7 linked regions of the Ovis aries genome follow. The protein of the gene in region 3 binds, or shares a complex with, the protein of the main gene of each other region. Links are inferred from orthologs where the notes say so. Each region holds a gene or a part of one and is shown on either strand. Other genes may lie near its edges.

The links.
Region 1: the proteins of SF3B1 (region 3) and U2AF2 are in contact, whole or in part, in a crystal structure (PDB 7SN6), measured with the Homo sapiens proteins. The link is inferred for Ovis aries from reciprocal best matches to the Homo sapiens genes SF3B1 and U2AF2. Residues at the interface, in NP_036565.2 of Homo sapiens: Ser336, Arg337, Trp338, Asp339, Thr341, Pro342, Ala343, Met346; in NP_009210.1 of Homo sapiens: Met383, Glu388, Glu394, Glu397, Ile398, Asp401, Val402, Glu405, Gln447, Gly448, Leu449, Thr450, Gly451, Arg452, Lys453, Phe454, Ala455, Val459.
Region 2: SF3B1 (region 3) and SF3A2 share a complex: the UniProt entries of both Homo sapiens proteins name them as parts of the 17S U2 SnRNP complex. The link is inferred for Ovis aries from reciprocal best matches to the Homo sapiens genes SF3B1 and SF3A2.
Region 4: SF3B1 (region 3) and HTATSF1 share a complex: the UniProt entries of both Homo sapiens proteins name them as parts of the 17S U2 SnRNP complex. The link is inferred for Ovis aries from reciprocal best matches to the Homo sapiens genes SF3B1 and HTATSF1.
Region 5: SF3B1 (region 3) and DEK share a complex: the UniProt entries of both Homo sapiens proteins name them as parts of the B-WICH complex. The link is inferred for Ovis aries from reciprocal best matches to the Homo sapiens genes SF3B1 and DEK.
Region 6: the proteins of SF3B1 (region 3) and RBM17 are in contact, whole or in part, in a crystal structure (PDB 2PEH), measured with the Homo sapiens proteins. The link is inferred for Ovis aries from reciprocal best matches to the Homo sapiens genes SF3B1 and RBM17. Residues at the interface, in NP_036565.2 of Homo sapiens: Arg334, Ser336, Arg337, Trp338, Asp339, Glu340, Thr341, Pro342; in NP_001139019.1 of Homo sapiens: Leu309, Met312, Val313, Asp319, Asp321, Leu322, Glu325, Thr326, Glu329, Leu372, Arg375, Tyr376, Phe377, Gly378, Gly379, Val382.
Region 7: SF3B1 (region 3) and SF3B2 share a complex: the UniProt entries of both Homo sapiens proteins name them as parts of the SF3B subcomplex of the 17S U2 SnRNP complex. The link is inferred for Ovis aries from reciprocal best matches to the Homo sapiens genes SF3B1 and SF3B2.

Annotation. Positions count from the first base shown.
Region 1 is NC_056067.1:62,666,231-62,669,730, forward strand, and holds part of U2AF2 (splicing factor U2AF 65 kDa subunit), read right to left. Parts: intron 2,848-3,500; coding exon 2,712-2,847; intron 2,225-2,711; coding exon 2,180-2,224; intron 1,946-2,179; coding exon 1,842-1,945; intron 1,745-1,841; coding exon 1,593-1,744; intron 507-1,592; coding exon 390-506; intron 256-389; coding exon 117-255; intron 1-116. UniProt on the Homo sapiens protein: Plays a role in pre-mRNA splicing and 3'-end processing. By recruiting PRPF19 and the PRP19C/Prp19 complex/NTC/Nineteen complex to the RNA polymerase II C-terminal domain (CTD), and thereby pre-mRNA, may couple transcription to splicing.
Region 2 is NC_056058.1:19,182,315-19,186,261, forward strand, and holds the start of SF3A2 (splicing factor 3A subunit 2), read left to right. Parts: upstream 1-1,147; 5' UTR 1,148-1,264; intron 1,265-2,085; 5' UTR 2,086-2,197; intron 2,198-3,947. Other genes in the region: PLEKHJ1 (pleckstrin homology domain-containing family J member 1), read right to left, coding at 105-171, 339-406, 499-592. UniProt on the Homo sapiens protein: Component of the 17S U2 SnRNP complex of the spliceosome, a large ribonucleoprotein complex that removes introns from transcribed pre-mRNAs.
Region 3 is NC_056055.1:199,700,664-199,703,289, reverse strand, and holds the end of SF3B1 (splicing factor 3B subunit 1), read left to right. Parts: intron 1-1,137; coding exon 1,138-1,354; intron 1,355-1,642; coding exon 1,643-1,801; 3' UTR 1,802-2,126; downstream 2,127-2,626. UniProt on the Homo sapiens protein: Component of the 17S U2 SnRNP complex of the spliceosome, a large ribonucleoprotein complex that removes introns from transcribed pre-mRNAs.
Region 4 is NC_056080.1:98,729,608-98,733,780, forward strand, and holds the start of HTATSF1 (HIV Tat-specific factor 1), read right to left. Parts: upstream 2,801-4,173; 5' UTR 2,597-2,800; intron 2,396-2,596; 5' UTR 2,341-2,395; coding exon 2,155-2,340; intron 540-2,154; coding exon 359-539; intron 1-358. UniProt on the Homo sapiens protein: Component of the 17S U2 SnRNP complex of the spliceosome, a large ribonucleoprotein complex that removes introns from transcribed pre-mRNAs.
Region 5 is NC_056073.1:38,626,901-38,630,400, forward strand, and holds part of DEK (protein DEK), read left to right. Parts: intron 1-845; coding exon 846-947; intron 948-1,166; coding exon 1,167-1,276; intron 1,277-2,748; coding exon 2,749-2,843; intron 2,844-3,500. UniProt on the Homo sapiens protein: Involved in chromatin organization.
Region 6 is NC_056066.1:10,895,321-10,898,383, reverse strand, and holds part of RBM17 (splicing factor 45), read right to left. Parts: intron 2,081-3,063; coding exon 1,929-2,080; intron 872-1,928; coding exon 798-871; intron 313-797; coding exon 214-312; intron 1-213. UniProt on the Homo sapiens protein: Splice factor that binds to the single-stranded 3'AG at the exon/intron border and promotes its utilization in the second catalytic step. Involved in the regulation of alternative splicing and the utilization of cryptic splice sites.
Region 7 is NC_056074.1:40,571,963-40,575,955, reverse strand, and holds the start of SF3B2 (splicing factor 3B subunit 2), read right to left. Parts: upstream 2,801-3,993; 5' UTR 2,776-2,800; coding exon 2,643-2,775; intron 2,475-2,642; coding exon 2,425-2,474; intron 2,136-2,424; coding exon 2,058-2,135; intron 960-2,057; coding exon 711-959; intron 498-710; coding exon 447-497; intron 1-446. UniProt on the Homo sapiens protein: Component of the 17S U2 SnRNP complex of the spliceosome, a large ribonucleoprotein complex that removes introns from transcribed pre-mRNAs.

The sequences.
Region 1 (3,500 bases), on a different chromosome or scaffold from region 3:
TGGAGGCCCAGCGCACCCCACTTCTCCCAAGACCCTAGGGCTGCCCAGCCTCCGACAGGCTGAGAGACCCCGGGCTGGCCCTGTGCACCCCTCAGTGCCCCCCAGAGCCCACTCACCAGGCACGTAGACAGAGGGATTCTCCGACATGCCCGGCAGGGGCTGGTAGTCATGAGGCCTGCGGATCTTCAGCGACTGGCCCTGGAAGATGATGCCGTCGAAGGCCATGGCCTGGGTGGTCTCGTCCACTGAGCGGAACTAAAGAAAGGACAGGAATGAAGCTGGTAAGGGGCAAGGCGAGTGGCTGGTCAGAGCCCACCCAAGGGTGCCAAGACCGCAGCTGGGTGGCGAGCAGACTGCAGAAGGGCCTGGTGGGAACAAGGCCTGCTCACCTCTAAGAAGGCAAAGTTCTTGTCCTGGTTAATCTGCACGGCCAAGACAGGGTTGCCAGGGGCCTGCGTCAGCCCCCCCAGGCGCATCTGAGCGTTGAAGAAATCCATCATGGCCTCCTGCAGAGGAGAGAGGAGACAGGGGGGGGCGGGGAGGGGAGGTGGAGAGAGGAGGGGAAGGGTGAGAGAGGGAGACACAGAGGGGTGGGGGGAGGGGGGGGACAGTGGAGTCCGGGTGGGGCAGAGATCAGTAGTTGGGACAAACGCAGGAGAAAGATGAAAGAAACAAGGGCAGGGGGCAGCACAGGAGACAGCCAGGGGCCCCAACCGGGGAAGAAGGGAGGTCATCAGAAGAAGCGGGAAACGAGGGAGAGGCGAGAAAACAGACGGAAAGTGTAGAGGAAACATCCAGTGGCGACAGCAGGAGAGAGACGGCATGAAGTGGAGCATCAACAGGCGGAGCACACGGAGGGTGGAGGGGGGGCGGGGAGGGGGGGGGGGGGGGGGAGGGGGGAGAGAAGAGTGATGTGGAGGGATCTGGTCCTGGAGTCGGGGGCTGGTTTATCAAATGCAGCAAAGTGCAGGTTGAGAAAGTCAGAATGGACCTTACTTGCCTTCGCCGATGGTAGCAAACTTTTTGTTGCTACGAGGGATCTCAGCCCCACAATATTTCACTTTAAAGAGAAATGGAAACAACTCTTTGATCTCGGGATTCTCGGGGGCGCCACGGGAAGGGGTAGGGAGAGGGGAGGGGACAGGAGCGGTGGGGAAGGCGGGGAGGTCAGGGCGATCAAAATCAGAGCAGCAACCATGGAGGGGTGGGGGAGAGGACGGGGAGGCGGCAGAGAACAAGAGGCGTGTCAGAGAGGCTGGGGCGTGCGTCTGCGTGTGTGTGCGTGTGCGTGTCTCCCTCTCTGTCTCTCTCCACACGGACTCGGACCACAGACTCGTGGGTACGTTATGTGTGTGCTTGATCCCTGGGCAGCTGGAGGAGGCTGGGGAGGGGAGATGGGAGAGGGAAGAGGAGGGAGGAGAGGGCCACCCAGCCCGGCCCCTGGCTGGCTCAACTCCATCGTCCGTCGGGGAGGGGGCCGGGGGGCCTTGCAGGCGCAGAGTCTGACCCGTGCAGGCTGGGGGAGGGAACGGACGGAGGGAGGAACAGCGGGCACAGGAAGGGGGGGCAGCGGGGGCAGGGGAGGGCAGTACCTCAGTGATGCCAAAGGGGATGTTGCCCACGTAGAGGCGCCGGGCCTGTCTGGTCATCTGGCTCCCGACCACGGGCACCGGCGTTGGGGTCACAGCCAGACCGTCAGGGGTCATGGTGGGGAGGAGGGCAGTGGCTGGAATCTGACCCGCAGCTTCAAGAGGGACAGAAGGGGTCAGAGGACAAACTGTCGGAGCAGGGTCTGCTGAGGGCCTCGCCCACCCCGCCCCCAGCCCAGGCGTGGAGCCCACCTTGCATGGCCTTGTACTGCATGGGGGTGATGTGCTCAAAGCCCGGCGGCGGCACGTCCCAGTATTTGCGGACCTTCTTCTTCTTCTCGTGGCGGGGGGAGCGACTGGGGGAGGCGGGAGGGGAGAGTGGGGCAGGGCGACCTCAGTCTGACCAAAGGCGGGCCTGCAGCCCCCCCGGCTCCCCTCGGTCCCCGGCTCGGCTCTCAAGGAGAGAGAGGACGCAATCAGGGCCGACCCGTTCTGGGCAGGGGACTCTTCCCGGCGAGCGGATGAGGACAGGGCGGGGTGCGCGGGGAGGCGGGGGAGGGCGTGGGGGAAGGGGCAGAAGAGAAGCTCACATCAATCCACCGTGCTCCTCTTTAGCGCCTCTGGTCAAAGGTTTGCTGGGGGTGGGAGGGAAAGGTGTGGGGAGGGGTGACTGGGGACCCTCGTCTCCCCGCACACCGCACCCCCCCGAGGGCACTGAGCCCCAGGGCTGGGGCAGGGCATCGCCCCCAAGCCCCCCAGCCACGAGGAAGGGAAGAAGGGCCAGACAGACCAGCTTCCAGCTGGAGGCTGAGGTGGGAGGAGGCGGGGCGCCACCCACCCGCCCTTCCACTGGGGCTGAGAGAACAGGGGGCAGCCTGGGAAGGGAAGAGGCGTCCGAGCAGAGAGCTGTCCCGAGAGACGCCGTCCCGCCCCAGGGAGGCAGAGCGCAGCCCGGGAAGCCGACGGAGAACCCAGACCAGACGGGGGAAGCGGGGCCCTGACCCCAGAGTCGCCCCCGGAAGCCCCCGCAGAGAGACGACGGCGGCCAGACAGGACAGCAGAGCCCCCAGCCCCGCGTGGAGAGGGGCCGGCGGCCCAGACGCAGCCCCGCCGCCCTGGTACCTGCGGCGCCGCCTGTCCCGGGAGGCGCTGCGCTGGTCCCGGTTGCGGCGGTCGCGGCTCCGGCTGCGGCGCTTGCGGTCCCGGCTCCGGGAGCGGCTGTGGCTGCGCTTGCGGTGCCGATTCTCCTTGTCGCGCTCTGCGGGGACAGGGCCGTGAGCTGGGCGGGGGCAGCCCGGCCCGCCCGCCCCCGAGGCCGCGCCCCTGCCCGGGAGGCCACCCCCACGGGGAAGGGCTCGAGGAGGGCGGGGCGGCAGGCTTCCTGTCCACGCACGCGGAGCCCGAGGGCCCTGGGGGCCGGGCGGGAGCAGTTACCTGAGGGGACAGGGCCTGGCAGGGCCCCGGGGTGTAAGGTACCTGAGTCTGCTCAGGAGGAGCTGGGGGGCCAGAGAAGTCAGAGGAGGCTGGCTCCTGGTCCCCCTCCAGGGCTGAGGGGCCTGACCCAGGGTCGTCCCTGAGAGGGGCAGGGCTAGACGCTGGGGAATCAAGAGACCCAGTGATGTTTTCCTGAAGGGACCCGGCGACCCCTCAGGAGACTCCTCCTCAACCAGCCGGCCCCGCGCCCCACCTCGGGCCCGCGTCAGGCCGGGCGGGGCCGGGCAGCCCCGGGGGGGGGGGGGCACCCACCCGTCCAGCCCCGCCCCCAAGCGGACCGCCCTCCTGGGAGGCCCCGCCCACCACCCCCGCGTCAAGGACGCAGGAGCTGGGTGGGCCCTTCGTCCAGACCGCCCCACGGCCGCTACAGCCGGGGCCTTCGACCTCCCCTCCTTTGCCCAGCAGCCCGCCACCCTC
Region 2 (3,947 bases), on a different chromosome or scaffold from region 3:
GGGCCAGCGCGTGAGGCTGCCCGGACACTGCACTCAGCCTCTAGGGACTTAGGTGGGGCCACGCCGGGGCGGGGACAAGCAGCCTCGTCCCAGGCCGCACTCACTGATGGAGAAGCTGCTGGGTTCTTCGTGGATGACTCTGCAGTGCTCCAGCAGCAGGGCTCCAATGGGCTGCGGGCAAATAGGCGCATGGGGGAGGACCCCGGGAACCCGCCCGCCCCTTGCCCCGCCCCCGATTCCCGAGCCCGCCCTGCTCTGACACCCGACCTCGACCCCGCCCCGTCCCCGACTCCGAACTCCGAACCTAACCCCCACTCCGATCCTCTCTACCACCCTACCTCCGCCTCGTCCGTCCGGAAGTAGAAAAGGAAGTTGACCACCAGCTTCACCAGCCGCCGCTTCACCACTGCGAGCACAAGGCGGGATCGCGCGGGTTCAGTACCTGCCCACTCCCGCCCCCTCAGCCGCCCGCCCGCTCCGGCGTCCCGGACCGCTCACCGCTGCCTTTCTTGGGTCCCCGCATGCCCAACTCGGCTGCCATCTCGGCAGGCTGCCGGGATAACGCCTGCAGCTCTTTGTCGTTATAGCGCATGGCGCCGCCGGTACCCAGAACGCGGAACGCCGGCCGCGCCCTCCCGGCCGCCGTCCCAACGCTCGCCGAGGCCGGCGCCAAGGGTCCTACGGCGCCGTCCCGGAAGCGCAGCCGGAGCTACTACGCCTGCGCGCTCCCGGGCCGCTCGGTCTGTCAATCACCGGCGTGTGGCGGAAGCGTCTCGGAGGCCGTCAAGACGGAGCGGGCACTTCCTGGGGCGAACGGGACTATAGGCAAAATGGACGGTGTCATATATGACCATGTAATAACGTGAACCCGGGATGGGAACAATAAAGCATCCCCACGACCGGTGGTGCCCGTTATTCAAACGAACAGGCGCCAGGGGTGGGAGGCGAGTCGCAACTACCCTCCCCGCGAAAACTGGCCCTGCGCGAGCGGTACTGACCGAAAGAACGAAATTATCCGGGGTGCACGCGCACTTCGACTTCCGGTTTGCACTCCGCTCCCCTCTTTCCTTCAGCCTATCAGCGTGTCGCCCGCGCCATTGGGCGGGCCGGGCATGCGTACGCAGGAGGCCCGGCCCGTCCTGTCCCCGGAAGTGCTTTCTGAGCTCTCGGCGCGCGTGCGCAGGACGAGGTCGTCGCGGTGGCTGTGGCGCCTGAATAGACCAAGGCAGTGTGTGAGGAGCCCGTGGACTTGACGAAATCGTGGGTGAGGATTAGTAGTAGTGCGAGACAAGGGCGGCGGCCCCGGGGGACTCCTTGGAGGGGAGTGGCTGAAGTGCTGGGTTGAGGGCGGCATCGGCTCTCTACCCGTCGGGCGCTGGGCCGGCCCAGCACCCCCACCCTCCCGCAGGGAGCTCCGGTTGCAAAGGCCCGTTGGGTCGGGTCGGGTCGCAGCGGACCCGGGGCGCCTTCCCTGAGTCCTCTGGTTTGCTGGCTTTGTGGTCCGGGGCTTACCTGGTTCCTGTAATAGGTGGGGGTGACGGCGCGCCTGGTTCCAGGCCCGCCGAGGAGTGAGGAAGGTCCAGAGGCGGATCTCTTGGCTCGAGGCCCAAGACCCGTTAGCTAGGCGCGTTTAGCGAGCGAAGCCCAGAGTTTAAATGACTTCTCCCCTTGTCACTCTGGGAGCCCGGCCCCCTTCTCCCTTCTGCCCTTTGGCAGCTGAGTACGAGCGACCTGAGCTTGTAAATAGCCTGAGTCGGGTGTAGAAGTGGTCTCTCAACTTCCTACCGTGACTGCTGAGGTCTCATTTCTGCCTCCCCCTCACCCGCTGCAGCCTCATCCTTCATACCATGGATGTGGTTAACCTGAGCTTCAGTCAGATTGTCAGTCTTATTTTCTAGGGCTGAAAATAGCGTTCGCTGCTCAGGCGGGTACTGTATTGAGCCGTGCTGCTTTTTGAGGGTACTGTTCTCCTCTTAACCCTCCCCCCAGAGCGCTTTCATTTCTTCATTCTTCCTATTTGTCTGATTTTGCTGGTTATTAATTTTTCTCTCAAAGCATCATTATTTCACACGCCTTGTTTTTCAGTCGCATCTGACTGACCCCATGGGCTGCAGCACATCAGGCTTCCCTGTCTTTCACCATCTCCCAGAGTTTGCTCAAGCTTATGCCCATTGGGGCTTCCCTGGTGGCTCAGAGGGTAAAGTATCTGCCTGTGATACGGAAGACCCAGGTTCGATCCCTGGGTCGGGAAGATCCCCTGGAGAAGGAAATGGCAACCCACTCCAGTATTCTTGCCTGGAGAATCCCATGGACAGAGGAGCCTGGTGGGCTACAGTTGCAAAGAGTCGAACACGACTGAGCAACTACACTTAACTTATGTCCATTGAGTAAGTGATGCCATCCAACCATCCCATCCTCTGCTGCCCCCTTCTTTCGTGGTTAGTCTTTCCAAGCATCAGGGGCTTTTCGGATGAGTGCGCTCTTTGCAAGCGTATGGGTTGTAGTTTGCCATGGGTTGAAACAATGGATGTCTTTTTTCTTTTCCTGCCTGCAAACTTCCCTCTCAGCGCTGGCATCCTCCTGTTCCACTGAGGACTGGAGCTCCACTCAGCAGCTGAGTAACTATCCTAGAACCTTCTGTCCAGGCTCCCATGGGCTGGTTTCTGTTTTCAGTCCCACTGTCTCCTCTTTTTCCCATCAGAGCTCTTCAGGTAGGTTTTGAAGAAGTCGACTCATTTGTTCAGTTTGAGTCCTCAGTTTGCTGAAAATGGCTTTATCCATCCCGACAGTCAGAAGTGTGGGTGTAAAGTTCTAGATTGAAAGCCCCTGATGGGAATTGGGAAAAGCCTTGCCCTGCCTTATGTGTTCCTGCTGTTCTGAAGGCTCTCATCTCATCCTGGTTTCTAACCTCTTGTTGCTGAGTTTTTTTCCATCTACTAGGAAACTTCATGGTCTATTTATTGGAGAGTTTTTTATTTTTTTAGGTTGTTTCTTTGATAATACTCTCCAAGTTTTTTGTTTTTCTTTTCTAGTTTTAGTTTTGTATTTGGACTGTAGTTGACTAACAGTGTTGTGCTTCAGGTGTACAGCGAAGTGAATCAGTTATACATATATACAGACCCATTGTTTTTCGTTTTGTTGCCCTGTGTAGGTCGTTAGAGAGCACTGAGCAGAGTTTTCTGTGTTCTTTATACAGTAGGTTCCTATAGGTTATATCTTTATTAAATATAGTAGTGTGGCCATGTTGTGTTCTCAGTCCAAAATTTCTAGGTTCTTGCTTTGCCTCCTGTTATCTTGTTATTTTGCTATTGTTTATTTTTCTGTTCTTTATGATAGCTTTGACTCTTATCTTCAGGCGCTCACATTCAGTGTGTTAGGCTCACTGCATCTTTGCTTAAAGGGTTTATCTAGTGTTAATTGGCCATGCTAATCTGTGGCATCCTGTTCTAGCTGTGGGAACATCGCCCATCATCCAAGAGGATGTTAACATCTTCTGTTGAGCTTTTCACTGAGTTTCCTTTTTCCCCAGTACATGCATTTCTTCACATCTGTTTAGATATCAGTTCTGCGTGGAGCTTCCTGGTGGCTCAGACGGTAAAGCGTCTGCCCGCAATGCGGGAGACCCGGGTTCGGGAAGATCCCCTGGAGGAGGAAATGGCAATCCACTCCAGCATTCTTGCCTGGAAAATCCAATGGACGGAGGAGCCTGATAAGCTACAGTCCATGGGGTCACAAAGAATCGGACACGACTGAGCGACTTCACTCTTCTGCATGGAGAGCAGTGCTTCTCTAGTGAGCTCAGTGGGCCTGGCAAAGTGCTGAGGTTTAGGGGATGCAGAGCCCCCAACTTTCAGTGTCTGAGAATACTGTCTCTGGTGCTCTCTCCCCAGAAGAAACTCCTGATCTCCCCTGTCCCCTGGGCTGGGGACTCAAGCCAGGTTTCTTGC
Region 3 (2,626 bases):
GCGCTGAGTCCTAACAACTGGACCATCAGGGAATTTCCAATCAACTTTTGTTTTAAAAATTACAAAGAAAATGATGAGCATGAGCTTATTGATGTAACAGAGAGACCTGATCTTTTTAGCTTTTTGTTATGGCAGGTGAAGCAGAGACACTTTTAACTACTGAACATAGCCTGCCAGAGCCACACTATTGTCACTGCAGGCCCCCAATTATTCAGATGGTGACCCCTGATAAAGTATTGCTGGAGGTGATTGATACAGTCCTAATACCAAGAAACATTACTTTAGTTGGGAAATTTACCAAGGAGGAATACAGATTCATTATAATCTATGCCTAATAGATTATTATAATAAATAAGAGAAATAAAGATGCTAGTAACTAAGTCGGTTCAGGTGCTTTTTTTTTCCTCTTAAGGTTTAAGAGAAAAAAGTATTTTTTTCTCTTAAATACCTTTCAGGTTCTCTTCTTGCCTTCGAGGGTAAAACGTGTGAACTTGTTTTTATACCTATCATAGACGTTTTATCTGATACTTGTACTCAGTTGAATAAATTATGGAATAAATAAGTCAATGATTTGTCATAAAGTCAGTCAAAACATGGGAGGTGATAAAAGTTCTTTTTTCTGGGTTTCAAAAAATTATTAGTCCTTCTCTTCCTTTCCCCAAATTGAACTCTTGAATGAATCTTTTTAAAAAACCACAAGGGAAGGGATTTAATCTCATTTTATTTATTTACTGTATACAGTATTGAATTACTTCCGAAGATTTTAAATTTACAGAGTTTAAAATGAGATATTACTGTTAATTGTTCGTATGTTAAGAGTCATGTATCCTCTCTTATTTTTAGTAGCTTGCAAAAATACACATTGTGCTGGGCCTTCTTGCTCCTGTTACTCTGAAAGAAAAATATAGCTTATTTTTGAGCCATTGTGAGCAGGTTTGAATCATCAAAGCAAAAGTTCTCAAGTATAATCATCAGTCATTCTTAAGGTATCCTATGTCAGATACACGAGGTGTAAGGATGACTCTGCATCCATTCCAAGCACTGAATTTGTGATTTAGTTTCTAACAGGCATGCAAGTATTTTCTGTGAAACTAAGACTGCATCTTAATAAAAAGCTTTTTCCCCTCTCCATTACAGGGACCTTGTACACAGACAGACTGCTAGTGCAGTGGTGCAACACATGTCACTTGGGGTTTATGGATTTGGTTGCGAAGATTCGCTGAATCACTTGTTGAACTATGTATGGCCCAATGTGTTCGAGACATCTCCCCATGTAATTCAGGCAGTTATGGGGGCCCTGGAGGGTCTGAGAGTTGCTATTGGACCATGTAGAATGCTACAGTATTGTTTACAGGTAGGTTAAAGGTTTTTTAAACAGTATTCATTGAAAAAATAATGTAGTTGAATTAAGTCACTGTTCCTAATTATCATTAGGGAAGATATATTTGTGCCATATGGGAAAACAGTTATGAGGGGAGAGAAGATTAGATTTTGTCCTTGCCCACTTCAGTTTTATGAAATTGACATCTTTTTTTTTCCTCTCTCAAAGGGAGATGTTTAGAACCATATCTTTATGGTTTGTTTGTTAGTTGTGTTAAGGTTATGTATTTCTTGAAATAATATAACCTTTTAATTATTCTAGGGTTTGTTTCACCCAGCCCGGAAAGTCAGAGATGTGTATTGGAAAATTTACAACTCCATCTACATCGGTTCACAGGATGCTCTCATAGCACATTACCCAAGAATCTACAATGATGATAAGAACACCTATATTCGTTATGAACTTGACTATATCTTGTAACTTTATTGTTTATTTTGTGTTTAATGCACAGCTGTTTCACACCTTAAACTTGCTTTGATTTGGTGATGTAAACTTTTAAACATTGCAGATCAGCGTAGACCTGGTCTTAGAGGAAGAGCTAGAAATCCAGTAGCATGATTTTTAAATAACCTTTGTTTTTGATGTTAAGCAGTAAACGCCAGTAGTGACCAAGAACACAGTGATTACACACACTATACTGGAGGGCTTTCATTTTTAATTCATGTTTATGAAGATTTAGAATTCATTCCTTGTGTTTAAAGGGAATGTTTAATTGAGAAATAAACGTTTGTGTACAAAATGCTAACTTGTGTGTGTTTTTTGAACATGACTTGTAAAATGCGGAACTTTGATAAAGTACTGGTTTCTGTAGAATAAGTGGCTTAATATCGTTTTCTGTCACCTGGTTTATAGAGAGTAGTTAGTAGAATACAAGCTATATAAAGTGATGGTATCTTTGTCAAAATTCCATTGCTCTGTTGATAAAGACATTAGGAAGAGTAGCTTTGAGGGTGTTAACCTCAAACTAGCACAACCCTTCCATCACCTTAGAAAATATAGCACCTTTGCTGAACTGTCTTTAATATTATTTTGCACTTGCATAGCGCCTTTCATCTCTTGATTTCTCAAAATGCTTATGAATTTGCTTAAGGGAAGTAATTGAAGTCATATCCAACTCGTGACAATTCTGTTTAGAATGTGGGAAAAGTAGCTTAAACTTCTACTTGTAGGGAGTGAGGCTACCTCTAAGTCATGCTAGTTAGAATAAGACAATCTTTTGAGTTCTTTGCCCATGTCATGTCGTAA
Region 4 (4,173 bases), on a different chromosome or scaffold from region 3:
TACTGTCAGATCTGGCCAAGCTGAAGCAAAATTGACTTGTTTAACTTAACTGGAAGTACCAAAAAAAAAACCAAAAAAAACCCAAACCAACCATATAAACAGAACTTTAAATAATCTTCTAATAAGAATTCTGTTTTGGAAAGGAAGAAACTGAGAACTGAACTGAATTGAAACAATCTGCTTGATGCCTATAGGTTAGTGGGAGAGCCAACACATGAACCCCAATAAAAATAATAATAATTAAAAATACCCATCTTATGATTCTGTCAAAGTTATAATTCTCCAAAAAGTAAATACATATACACATACTCATATTTTTAACTTTTATACTCATGTTTTGCAAGCTAAATCTACTTGCCTGATTCAGCCTTTCTCTTTTCTCCCTTCTTTTTCAGATCACTGGGTTCAGGGGGTTGTCTTTGCGGAGGTTCTTCTGCAGGCCTGGCACTGACATCTTGGATACTTGCAGTAGAACTCGATGCGCCATCGTTAGAAAAGCCATAATTGGCCTGATATGTAGCAATGAAATCTTCAGTGATCTAAATAAGAAGTTTAGTGCACACACACACACACATTAAAAAATGATTTCCTACTGTGAAAAGTTTACACTGTATTAAATAACAGTATATTCAGTTATACAATGTCACATTTGAGTGTTTCTGTGGATAACAGTAATTAAAGCATATATGAAGAACAGTCACCTACATAGAAAACTGTGCAAGAGAATAAAAAAATTAAGACATGGGTACTTGGATTATCAACACAAAAGTCTGAGATACTATTAAAGGCATTTTAAGTGATGTTGGCACCTTTCCTAGTTGTTTCATTTGTAAATTACTATCTCTGTAGTCTACTTGACGAAGACTACAAGTATATATAGCAAAGGAAGTACCAGATAACAATAAACAGAATAAAAACCAACAGTCAACTAATAATCTAACAACAGAATCAAATTTTCTTTTACTATACAGATGAACATAAGGATATGTACTCAAATCACATTATCATTTAATGTCAAAACAAATCAAGAACAAATCCAACTCACATCCATCCTCCTGGCTCTTAGAGAAAAGAACAATTGTACAATGAAACAAATGTAGTTATATCTTCCTACCAGTCAATGTGAGGCACACATAGGAATGAGGAAAATTTTGAACTTGGAAGTTTGAAGTGGTATGGGTTCCATAACATAAAAAGATAGAGCCAAAAATTACTATACTATCAGACGACTGTTGAAGTACTCAGAAGGCTGAAGAAACCAAATCTGCACTCTAGCTGGCACCACCAGTACCCAAGTGAAATGTTAAGTTTAACAATTTAGAGGGATTGGAACATACACACAAATAAAAATTGGGAAAGAAAACAGTTTAAATAAATAATTTAAAAAATAACACTCAAATTACACAATGCAGACACGGTTTGCATCACTGGCTTGCAAATCTATTAGTGTGCGATAAGTATCCTTTTTTTTCCACCTGTACCACAAGACTTTGATTAACAGGGTACTCTGACCAAAAAGTTTACAGAACCAAGTTTAACATCCGTCATTTTACTTCCAAGCTGAAACTGAATGCTTAAAAATTTACAGGTACTCTAAATAAATAGGCACAGATCCTTTCCATCCAAATTCTGTGCTCCTCCTGTCATATTCCTGTAGTGATATGGTTCAAATATACGTGTCTAGGACCAACTTTAGTAGGAAAGAAAAAAAAAGATGCAACCTTTAATCAGTAAAAATTTACCAATTTATCAATTTTTTTCAACTCAAGAAGTTGCATTTTGCACCTAGCACATCAGTTAACCATCTGAATTCCTAGGATAAGATTGAGACTGCCTTGAGATTAACATCCATTGAATTTGCTCTTGATGTTTTTCTCTTTGCAATAAAAAGCAGTCACTGACATAAACCAACTGCAACCTTCATAGATAAAATTAATAAGGCATAAAAAGGACTTAAGAATTAAATTACATTGAAGACATCTTCCTAAAGATTTCCGTTCCTTTACACGTCGGTTCTGCCACAGACACAACAAAAAGAAACGTCACAACCAGAGGGGCTCTAACCCAGGACCTCAGCAAAGAAAACGTGAAAGGAGCGCCCCGCGAGGCTGGCCAGGTGGGCCCGCTGTGCAGCGGCGCCCGGGCGACTCTTACCTTGGGGAACCAAGCCTTCTTGTCTAGGTCCCACTCGTACGGGGTGTCAGTCGGCTGCTGCCCGAAAGAATCGGTTTCTCCACCGGGATCTTTCTCGGTGTCGTCGTCCTTGGTGTCTCCGTACAATTCTTGCATTCGCAACTGCTCATCAAACTCGTCATTCGCATCCAAGTTGTTGCCGCTCATGTTGCCCACTTAGCCTAGAGGCAAGGTCCGGTCGAGCGAAGAGGCCGAGCTGATGCTGGAGGGGAACAGAGAAAAGGAGGTTGGCCACACTCAGCTCGCTCCCCACCGCCCCCCGGCCCGCCTCCCCGCGGCGCCCCAGCAGCCCCCGGGAAGTCAGGGCCACTCGGCGGCCGCACCGCCCCCCGCTCCGCCCGCTGCCCGCCCGCCGCGCGCGCGCGCGCGTCGCAGGTCCCGGCCCCGCCGCGCCACCGCCCACCTGATTCGCCCCGCCGGGCCTCGCCGCCGCTGCCCGATCCGGGTCGAGGCGGGAGCGCGCACGCGCGCCGCCGCCGCCGCCGCCGACCGGGTCTGAGGCAACTGCGGCTCCCGCGTCAACGTCTGGAAACCACTTGGAAACCGAGGCCCGCTCAGGATGACGAAGTCGCCATTGTTGGCGCGTCGCGTCGTCGCGGGGCGCACCGGCACGCCCCCAGTGGCGTCAGTAGGAGCCGACACGGGCCAGAGGCGTGGGGCCCCGGGGGCGGGGCTCCGGGAGCTGCGCTGCTGCCGAGCGGAGATGCTCAGCAGGGCTGTCCTGGCGCGGGGGCCGCGGGGAGCGCAGGGCCTACGGCCTCTTGGGAACGTTGGGCTCCGCGGGGTCCGCAGCGGGGCGGTAGCCCAAAGGCGTGGGAAGATTCCCACTCGGCCGGCGCCGGAGCAGGCGTCGAGGCGGCCGCCATCTTGGGGGAGTGGACGGGACAGGCGGGACAGGACGCGCTGCGACAGAAAGATGCGCCTCCTTCTCCCAGAGGCCCCTCCTCCGCGTGGGAAACGAGTCTTTCACTTGTTTCGTGAAGACTTCCCTAGGAGAGCCGGGTTAGCCCGAGCTGGTAGTACAGGGTCTGATGTATAGTGCGTGTGTGGTGAGTGAATGAATGAACGAACGAATGGTGAGTGGAAGGACCAACCTTCTCTCCAAGTCTCTGCTCCGTCCTTTTCTTTCTGGTACCTTCCTCAGGCTGGAGATGACTCTGGAAAGGAAAGGCAACAGTTGCCTGTCCCTTGTTCTCCAAATTTCAGACTTGCTCAAGCTACAAATCTGAAACTGTAACATCCAGTGTACACACCACCTTTACTGCCCCACTAACGTCGTTTTTTGATGTTTTAGGAAAAAAGTGCATGTGATAGAACTTACATGCATATTTATAGTGTAGATAACGAGTTTTATTGGGCTCATATACGTTTTGCTAAATATTTCTTTTAGGATCCAAAAATAGTATTCAGCTGTTTTCAGCAATATGTTATTGAGCTTCCATTTCATTCCTGAATAGGTTCACAGCATAGGTGAACTAAGCAGTTCATAGGTATACTAAGCAGTCCTGCTGCACGTGACTCTGAGCGCCTGCTGTATCCACAGGCCCTTCCGAGCAGGTGGCCAAAAGTTGATGTTTAGCTCCTGTGTGACCCAGTTGGAGGCCTGTGAGGTGACTTGGTAGGGTAGCCCCGCATTCTAGACTGAGTTTGACTCACTGAGCCAGTAAGCCTCTCCCAGAAAGAGGGACGAGTAGGAAATGTGGGCATGGGCAGAGTAGTCTTCTGTGGCCAAGTTCCGTATGGGTGAGAGGAGAAGCTGAGGCAGTGATAGAGGGTCATTGAGTCACCACTATAGTGGAGTTGGGAGCGAAACATGCTTGTAGCTATGATAGCATTCTGTTTGGCCATTGGGTCCCACAGTTTTGTTGCTACTGTTTAATGCTATTGTCCCTATGCGACCTGGTTCCTACTTTTATTTCCTTGTGGATTCCTAGAATTCAACCCCTAGTAACTGAGTTAATCTGGAAGTGTCTCTTTATA
Region 5 (3,500 bases), on a different chromosome or scaffold from region 3:
AATCCTCTGTTGATGCCCACTTAGTACCTAGTGCAGCTTTGCACAAAACAGGCATTCAGGTGAACGAATGGAAGGCCTTCTAACAATATGTATCGTCCTCTTATTTGTCTGAGTTTATCTCAGTCAGAAAATAAATGGGTTTTAGAAAATCCAGCTTAATATTTTAAGTGTTAAAGTATATACTACCTAGCTTAAAAAAATGCAGTCCAGACTAAACATTGCAAAACTTTTTTCCCAAGGTTTTATGACCATTATTATGAATATCATTTATTGAACTACAAAGTAATGGCATCCCAGTTGATTGCCTTAAATGTTAACTTGCAGAATTTTACCCTAGCTGTAGTAACTAACCTGGGTGCTCTGTCTTATTGTTCTTCTTTTTCTTTCTTCTATCAGCTTACTAAATTACTGCTTTCCTTGGATATCTCTTGAAATTCTTTTATCTCAATTTTAACTTGCTGTTTTCTGATATACAGTAAATGGAATCCCAATAAATAGAATATGTCTAATCAAATTGTAGGTTAATGAGCATATTGGTGATTTTTCAAAAATTGACTTCTGTAGCAATAATTGTAGCTAGATAACAGTTTGTTTGCTTTCTGATTTTTTTTCTTTTTAAAGCACCAGTTCCTCTGTTAAGTTGGCCAGGTCGATAAAATATTACATTTTTAAAATTTCAGTGATGATACTAACTTACCAAGTATTTTCACCTCTGTTTGTGTCATTTGCTTCTCTAAATCATACTTAGGAGGTACTAGGTTTCTACAGTTTTTTTTCTCCTACATGTTGATATAATACATCCTTTAAGCTTTTTGTTACTTACGAAGTGTTAAATTAACTTCTAGAAAAGAGCCTCATTGTGGAAGGCAAGAGGGAAAAGAAGAAAGTAGAGAGGTTGACGATGCAAGTCTCTTCTTTACAAAGAGAGCCATTTACAATCGCACAAGGTAAGTTTCTATTCCTTTCATTCTGTAGTGAAAATGCCTCAGTATACAACATGATGGTTAGCAATGTTTAGTTTTTAGTGTTTATTAAGTACTAATATATTATAGGTGTAATTTAATTTGTCCTGTGAGAGCATATGTAAACTAAGCTCTAAAAATAATTCTCATTAAATGTTCTAACACATAATGGGTGTTTAACATGGTATTTTTTTTCCCCCCTAGGAAAAGGGCAGAAACTTTGTGAAATTGAAAGGATACATTTCTTTTTGAGTAAGAAGAAAACAGATGAACTTAGAAATCTCCATAAACTGCTTTACAACAGACCAGGAACAGTAAGACCTTTTTTATACTTTTTACCTAGTAGTGTACTTACGTGTTAAAATACTTTACAACAGGAACATAATTTTAGTTCTGGAAAGGACTTTAGTTCCAGAACTAAATCAACTAGATCAATCTCCATTCCATACAATGTAGCTAGATATAGCCATTAGTATTATAATATCCAGAGCTCTTTATATTGTTGTTTTTAAGTGAAAGTCGCTAAGTCGTGTCCGACTCTTTTCGACCTCATGGACTATACAGTCCATGGAATTCTCCAGGCCAGAATACTGGAGCGGATACCCTTTCCCTTCTCGAAGGGATCTTCCCAGCCCAGGGATTGAACCCAGGTCTCCCGCATTGCGGGCAGATTCTTTACCAGCTGAGCCGCAACGGAAGCCCAGGAATACTGGGGTGGTTAGCCTATCCCTTCTCCAGCAGATCTTCCCAACCCAGGAATCGAACTGGGGTCTCCTGCATTGCAGGCGGATTCTTTACCAACTGAGCTATCAGGGAAGCCCATAGTTGTTTTTAAGCCAAACTAAAATTTCAGATTGTGAAATCAAAGTTTTGATTTAGTGATCTTTAACTGTGTTAGAAGAAATTTATTTTTTGAATGTTTCTAGCCATTCAGAATAAACGATACAGAATATTGTGTCTCCTTATGAGGAAATATCTGATAAACCAGGGGATAATTTTTTGCCAGCAGTTTGTTAAAATAAATCAGTGTTTCATTTACTGATCATAATACTGTACACACAACTTCAGTGTTCCATACACCTGAGGACACTTCGCTTTGGGCTATGCATGGGCAAAGTAAAGCTTGACATTGTTTGGCTGTCTGAAGCGTGGTAAGCTTTGTTTTCATGTGTGTTACCTCATTCCACCCTGACAATAGTCTGATCTACACAAGTCCCATTACTGCTAAATGGTATTGACTTTTGGAGGGACTCTGTTATTTGCTTTTTAAAGAATAAATCCCTGACTTTCTTATTTGAAAAATTAATAGTACTGGTAACTTATGTTACTTAAGGAAGGAATTTTTTTTTAAGTTATTTATTTATTTTGGCTGCACTGCCTGGCTTGTGGAATATTTATTCCCCAACCAGAGAATGAACCTGGGTCTTGACAGTGAGAACGGGGAGCCAGAACCACTGAACTGCCAGGGAATAAGAGTAGTAGCTTTCCATATCCCTGGGTGTTATCAGATAACATTTAATTGTGGTTTTATAATTACTCGGGAAATTTCCCAAATGAAATACATTTTAATTGAAATTGGTATTTTCAAAGAATTAAGTTTGTAAACATTTTATAATGTTAATATTTTAGTAACAAATGCACTTTTCCATTGTGAATTTTAAAATATGGAATAAACCGCTATTGTAACGTGGAGACAAATGTGAAAAGAAAAATGTTGGCTTTGAAATTTTTCTTGTTTACATTACTGGGTAATAAGTAGCATTAATAATAGGAGAAACGTTTTCAGGTGTCCTCATTAAAGAAGAATGTGGGTCAGTTCAGTGGCTTTCCGTTTGAAAAAGGAAGTATCCAGTATAAAAAGAAGGAAGAAATGTTGAAAAAGTAAGTTATCTTTATAAATAATCATGTTTAGATTAATGTGCTTCAGCTTTTTTTTTTTTAACATTTTAAGTATAACTGCCCTTACATTTTCAGTAGACTGCTGATTCTTTGCTTTAAATTCCAAGACCATGTCATCATAAACTATTAACTTGCTTTCTGAAAAATAGTGGCTATCAAGATTATTGAAAGCTAAAAGACATTTCTGTTCCTTAGAAGAATGATACACAGAGGTAAATCATTCACACAGCTCCAAATTCAGAAGGTCCAAAGGGAATGTAAATGTAGTAAAAACTCTTCCACTCCTATTCTGTGTCAGCCACTCCATTCCCTCACTTTTAAGTGCCATTTAAACTATTTTGAAGATAGTCAGGTTAACAGAAATAATTTCCACCCTAATGCAGACAAGATGATATATTCTTTTTAAACAATTTTTTAAATAAGATGATACATTGTTTAAAGTTTTTTATTAAGGCCCCTGTAGTTTAAAACTTGAGTATTAAATATGATTACCTATTACCTTCTTTGAGACATTGTCAGTAGGAATGCTCAGGGGGAAATGTAGTATTTAATCACCAGCCACAAGAATTAACAAGTTTGTGAATTTTAAGTAATGAAAAATTTTACATAATTTTCTAGTGAATGAAGTAAGTTTTTTCT
Region 6 (3,063 bases), on a different chromosome or scaffold from region 3:
CACAAAATGAAATGTCTCTTCACCAAATAAAATTTGAAGTTCTTCTTATGCTAATATCTGAAATTGCAATAACTGAGTAAAAGCAGTATAACTAACCAACACATGTCACCTTCTAAAGACAGTATGTTACTTACAATGCATCCTCTATTTACAGAAAATGCTTTGTGACCTATCAATCATAACTTGGGTTATAAACAAAGAAATCTCTCTTACTTCAAATATCACACATTTTCCAACTTTGCCATATTTCTCACACTCTTCCTTGGTTTCTACTTCCAAGTCTTCATCCACCTCTCCTGCACCAACCATGTTCTAGAAACAAAAATAAACATATAAATTCCAGTACTGAGTATAATTGACAACTATGTCAAAGAGATGTATAAGTAACTTTTTTCCAAGATGGCAAATGTTTCCAAACCCAAATGATTCAAAGAAAATTTTCATTCCTGAAATATCCTGAAGTAGGTTAGTTTTTTTAAAAAAATTAAAAAATATACATTAGGCTTCAATAAGAGTTACCAGAGCAACTGGGCAAGCACCAGAATACACAAACCAAGCTGAATTTCTGACAACTTCAAACATTTTAAAGTAATTTCTCACTGTAGTCTTAAATACTAATGTTTAGCAAAGAAACACTAGTGAAAAGGAATCTAAAAACCAGTCTTCCAGGGAGTCTTCCCACAATTACCACCTTCAGTTCGCTTCAGCTATCCCATCATCAGCCGGGCTGACTGATTGCAGGGACAGGGTGGGGGGAGGGACACAGGGCAAACAGGGCTCCTCCCTCAGCTCCTTACCCTGAGTAGGACCACTTTGGTAGGACACTTAAGTATTTCAGTTAATGGATTTGAATCTGACTTCTTGGCTGCGTCTGTAAGAAAACATCATCAGACAGAAGTGTCAGGGCACCAAGTCTAAGTTACAACGAGCAATTTACTTTGAACACCAATCCCCACTCTCTATGTCCTAGAGCCAGCATCTACACAGTCTCTGAGCCAAGATGTAGCCTTTCCTATCCGAAAGCATCACTTTACTTTGGTATAATTTTTACCATAAATTCTAGAACTTTTTAATATCCTCAGGTGCATTTTTGCTTAGCTCACTTCCTAAAGGGCCAACAGGGCACAGTGATCACCACCCTCAGAAGCGAGTCTTGACTCAGGCAGTGGTCAGAGGTCGTGAGCCCAGTGTAAACGAGCAGTTCATCAGCCAGCCGTGAGCTGACCAGTGTCAAATACCCCCACAGACTGGGCTGACTGCTGGTTTCTGGTTCCAGCCTGTGAGGCTTAGTGCTGCTTCAAGCTCGACGTCAACATGCCTGGCAGGAAAGTTCTCTTCCTTCTTCAGGAAAAAGCATTCAGCTAAGACTGATTCAAAACTACGGAGTTCTCCTGCTTGAAGTGCTAAATCATGCCTGACTCATTCCAGCGTGCCCTCACTACAGAACAGACTGTAACAGTCAAATGAAAATAGAACACCAAGCAGGCATCACCTACCAGAAGACTGCAAAATAATGCTAGTTTTACAGAGCAGTCAGTAAGAAAATTAGGATGAAAGGGCAGAAAAAAGCAAAAAGCAGAGAACCCTTACAGAATAGAGATACAGCAGAAAGAATTACTGATATACTGCGTATGGCTCTGCGTTGCTATAAAAACTCAGTAACGGTTCTATCAGTATAACAAGGCTCTTTCCCGAGGAGAAGCAGGCATGACAGGATTTCTGGAGTCCTGTTCATTGCTGCCAAAGCCTCTCGTCTTCTTTTCCTCCCACAGGCGTTCTGTCTCTCTGTCTTGAACTATTTGTAAAGATGGGCCTCAGAACTGTTTCCACCACCCAGAGCTGGAAGGCATCACGATGAGGAATTCTCTCATTCAGGATGGCCTGCCCCCGCCCACACCCCCAGGAGCCCTGCCCGAGGGGAGGCCCACCTTTCTCGGTGGCATCGCCCACGATGATCTTGCCGCCCCGCTTGCTGGTCTTCTCCACCGACAGCGCTGTACTCAGACCCTGCTCATGCTTCCCGAGACCCTGGCCTTCCCGGAAGCCATACTTCTGCATGATTTTATGTGCTACCGTGCCCCTGCGAGGAGGAAAAGGAGAAAGGTCCCTGTACTTGGGCCATCAGCTACAGCACAGATTGGATTTTACATCACAGTAATCTCCTTCCGGGAGGAGAGAATGTAGATTCCACAAGGGCGTTGATGATGCCATTTATCTACTAACGGGCTAAGAGACAGAAGTTGTGGGATGTTCAGAAGACAGATTAAAAAGTGGATGCTGGAATCCTGGGTGCACTGAGATTACCTCTGAGGTGAAGGAAACACTAGTTCCTCTGGTAAGAGCTCCCCAGGGAACTGCATTTTCTGTTAGAAAATACCAGACTTCCTGGGTGCCCCTGTACCTGCTCTGCTACAAGGCTCATAACCAATTTAAGTAATCCTGTCAAAAACTAAGTATAGTCTCATGTAATGAAGATGACTGCATTTTTCTAAGTAGTACAGAAGAGTTTCCAATGACTGGCTTCATAAATGAAGGATGCTTAAGGACTATCTGTTTAATAGATGGAAATAAAGAAACTGGGGCCCACAGTGGCTGCCTCGCTTAAGGCTGACTGACAGCAAAGCAAGACACCACATGTTGGTATTAACAGCAGGACTGAAACTGAAACCCGCAGCTCTGAATTCTTAGTCCACTGCTCTTCCTCTAATCAGTAACAGCTTTCAAACTACACAGGGAGGAGCCTCAGGGGCACTGACCACTGCTTCTTAGGGCCTGAACCCCAAAACCCTGCTTCAACCCGAACTGTTCCGTTCAGCTCAGTCGCTCAGTCGTGTCTGACTCTTTGCGACCCCATGAATCACAGCACGCCAGGCCTCCCTGTCCATCACTAACTCCCAGAGTTTACCCAAACTCATGTCCATCGAGTCAGTGATGCCATCCAGCCATCTCATCCTCTGTCGTCCCCTTCTCCTGCCCTCAATCCCTCCCAGCATCAGAGTCTTTTCCAATGAGTCAACTCTTCGCATGAGGTGGCCAAAGTATTGGAGCTTCCGCTTCAGCATC
Region 7 (3,993 bases), on a different chromosome or scaffold from region 3:
CAGGGGATCTTCCCAACCCAGGGATTAAACCCACATCTCCTGTCTCCTGCAGGCAGACTCTTTACCCACTGAGCCATTGGGAAAGCCCAGTAGGGGTCAGGAAATTTCTTCTGTAATGGGCCAGTCAGTAAATATTTTAGGCTTTCTGGGTTGTTTGTAGACTGTTGTAAATTCCTTTCCCCCATCTCCCCGAAACAACCCTTCAAATATATAAAAACCATCCTTACATCACAGGCCATACAAAAACAGGCTATAGTCCACAGATTACCAATTCCTTGGCTATGTGAAAGAAAGAATTATTTGGGAGATAATGGAATTTAGATGAGGATGAGGTAATCTCCATGGGAAACCTGAATGGCACGGCTAATTTTAGACAGTAAGCACTAGAAGTGACAGACGATGGATTAGACCATGGAGGTCAAAGGTTAGGAAGAGGGAGGCATTACCCGCTTCTGCTGCTCCAAAAGCTCATGTTCCTTCAGTGAATGATCTCCCTGCTTAAGAAAGAAAACGAGCTCATTCCAGTACCCACACCCCACCGGCCAGTCTACCACAGCTCTGCTTCCTGGTCTGCTCTTCCAGCCGAGGCCCTGAAGACTTGGGTCCAGACCTTCCCAGAAGCCTTGGCCCCAGGATCCGGCTCCCCTGGAGGCCCTACTCCCTTTTCAGGACCCTGGTGAGACCCAGGCTCAGGCTGCCACCTGCCCTACCTGCTTGGCACGCTCCTCCTGCTGCATCAGCAATGCCGCCTGCTGCTGCGCCAGCTTCAGCCGCTCTTCCTCAGACAGCGCCACGGGCTCACCCACCCGGAGAGGAGGAGGAGGCCCCAAGTTTGGCGGGCGGGGTCCAACTGCCATAGGAAAGCCAAGGCCAAGGCCAGGTGGGGGTGGTGGGGGTGGTGGAGGGGGTTGTAGAGGAGGGAGACCCATGGGTGGGGGCGGCATGGGAATCCCCGAGAGCTGTGGGGGGAAAAAAAGGCCATTAACTATGAAGCATTTATGTAATGGCAGGCATTTGCTGGGGAACTAATATAAGGCTGGCACTGGGATTCAAAGTCAAATGATGCACAATTCTTGCATTCAAGAAAATGCAGGGCTTCCCTGAAGGTCCAATGTTTAAGAATCCGCTCAACGCAAGGCACATGGGTTCGAGCCCTGCTCTAGGAAGATTCCACGTGCTGCGGGGCAACTAAGCCCATGTGCCGCGTGTGCTGCAGCTGCTGAAACCCGTATACCCTGGAGCCCGTGCTCCGCAACCAGAGGCCACTGCGATGGGATGGCCGCACAACACAACTAGACAGTAGTCCTGTGCTCGCTTCAACTGGAAAGGGCCTGCACACAGCAATGAAGACCCAGAGCAGCCAAAGACATAAAGGAAAAAAGAAAGAATACTCTACGGCAGTATCGAAAGAAGAGCATTTTAACTTTGTGCCACCAACTGATGAAAGCTGTCAACTCTGTCCCAGAAGAACATCATGAACACAGACTTCACATACAATTTCAGGAGACTCACGGACACCTCTAAAGGCCTTCTGAAAAACTCCTCAACCCCTCAAAAAATAAAAACCTTCTTATGCCACACATAGAAGTCCCTGGACCCCAAGTCAGGGCCACTGCTCTACAGAAAAACTATCAAATCCTGGATCAGAAAAGACATGGAAATTGAGAGTATTTAAATAAATAAGACCCAGTGTGCCCCAATGACTGATTAAATATAGAAGGTATGAAATTAAATCAGAGAGTAAGCCCTAATTTCTCATTGAATAACATGGGAACTCTGCACAGGGAGGGCAGAGAAGAGAGTGATTACTTCCAGCTGGGGAAGGATTATGTCAGGTTTCCAGATATTTAAGCTGAATCTTAAATGACACATGAAATTTGGAGGAACTGACACTGAGAAAGGAAGTAAGAATCTGGACGAAGGAAGAACTGAAGAGTTCCCAGTTCTTTCATCAGTGTACCTCCCTGCCCAGTGGGCTACGTGTATCCCCCTGTACGCTCAGAGGAGGAGCTACTCTGAGTAGAAAAGAATCTTATCAAGTGAGACAGTCTTCTTACCTGTGCTGACATAGGAGGAGGAGCAGCTTTGTCCCCATCTTCACCTCTCAGAACGGGACGATTCAGGACGATGCCAGTCTGTGAAAGTGAAAAGAATCTAGGGCAGTCTAAAAGGAGCTGGTGCATGAAACAGCGTTCGCTCTCGTCTATTCAACAAAATTTACCCAGTGACTGTCTGCCAGAGCTCGGAATGGGCTCTGGGAAGAAACGATATATACAAAAGCAATTATAACACAGCAGATACGAAGCAGCCAAGACCCCACTTGCTGTACCGAGATTCGTAAACAACGAAGACCGAGTTGTAACGGGTCATTAATGCCTCCTGCAAACGCTCGGCCTATCCTCATGTCCCGCCACCAACACTTACTTGGCGAGTGTAAGCCTGCAATCGCTCCACAAGCTCCTCGCGACTCCCTGCTAAGCAAAGCACAGGATCAACGGGGTAGGTCAGGTCGAGCAGGCCAGCCTGCCCAAGTCAGGCCACCGCGGCCAGCCTCTAACCCCCGCCCCCGGGTCTCCGGGGTAACCAGCTCCGCTTCCCCGCAGGCCTGCACTTTCCTGCCCTTGACTTCCCATGCTCCTCACCCTGGATGGGAGCTCCGATCTCTGCTAATTTGGCCTGAAGCTCCTGGGCAGCCCAGGCACCATAGTGTCCAGGAGGCGGCGGCGGCGGCAGCTGCAACTCTCCCTTAGGAGGCTCCGGATGCTCGGCCGCCATCTTAGCCGCAGGAAGGCGCGCGACCAACCCGGAAGCTCGGACCAGCCTCCGGACCCACTTCCCGGAACTTCCGGTAGGGCGATACGCCACGTCCGCTCGAGGGTTGCCAGGCAGTTCCCATCAGGGCCCACCCCCTACCGTTCTCCAATGCTCCTTAGGCCGCCTGGTCGCGAAGCCTTCTGGGAGTTGTAGTGCACAGGTCACGATCTCTGCGGATTCAAATCCGGGAGGATCGCGGCCGGCCGCGACGCGGGGAACTCTGGAGGCCAGAGCCGGGGCGGGGCTGTGGGGAAAGCAGGTCCTGCCCGAAGGGCGTGCTTTCTGCATCTCACTGGCCTCAGCGCAGACCTCCCGCCTTGCGGCGCTACTCCCTGGTTGGACTTGAGAGGCCTGGACGCTCACGTTCTCCAGGGACTCGTTCCCCCGGCGGTCGCGCGCTGTGGGCGCCAAGCGGGAGTTTGCCGCCGATGCCTGTGATAAAACAGTGTCTGATTGTCTGCCCGCCCATCCCCGGCCCAGGCATGGATGAATGGGCTGAAAGGAGATCGGAGACGGGAACGAAGCCGGCCCTCCGGGCTGAGATCCAGCTGCCGACCTGGGGGAAGGGCCACACTAAAGCCCCTTTTTCCACCTTCCTGGCCGTCTCAAATGTCATCTACGTTAAACTGTCTCCCGCCTTTCCTGCTCTGGAGCGGCCAAACCTCTACCATTTGTTTTGAAATCTTTCTTGCCCTTTTCTGCACTTACAACTCCCAAGACATGAGTTTTTACGGTCTCACAGTACCTGGCGTTAGAAGTGCTCAATGAATTATTACTGAAAGGGGGAAAAAAAAAAAAAAAAAGCAGTCTTAAGCGACAAGATTTGGATCCTTTTTTAGTCTTGAAAATAAACGCAGGGGAATTCCCTGGTGGTCCAGTGGGTCGAACTCAGTGCTTTCCCTGGGGAAACCCGGGTTCCATCCGCGGTCAGGTAACTAAGATCCCACAAGCCGCACCGCAAGGCCGAAAAAGAAAGAAAATAAACTCAGGACCTTTTCTTCCCTCATCCCCACCAGCTTACTGGCGCAGCAGACCCTGTCTGGTGCTCTCCTACCCCACCAGCGGCCTGTGCCCCTGAGGGAGGGATGGGCAGGTGGCCCTTGCTTGCCCCCTTCTGCTTCTCCCTGTCCTGATCAGTCAGTTCAGTTCATCTTCCCACCTCTGCCTCCAGCTCTGAGA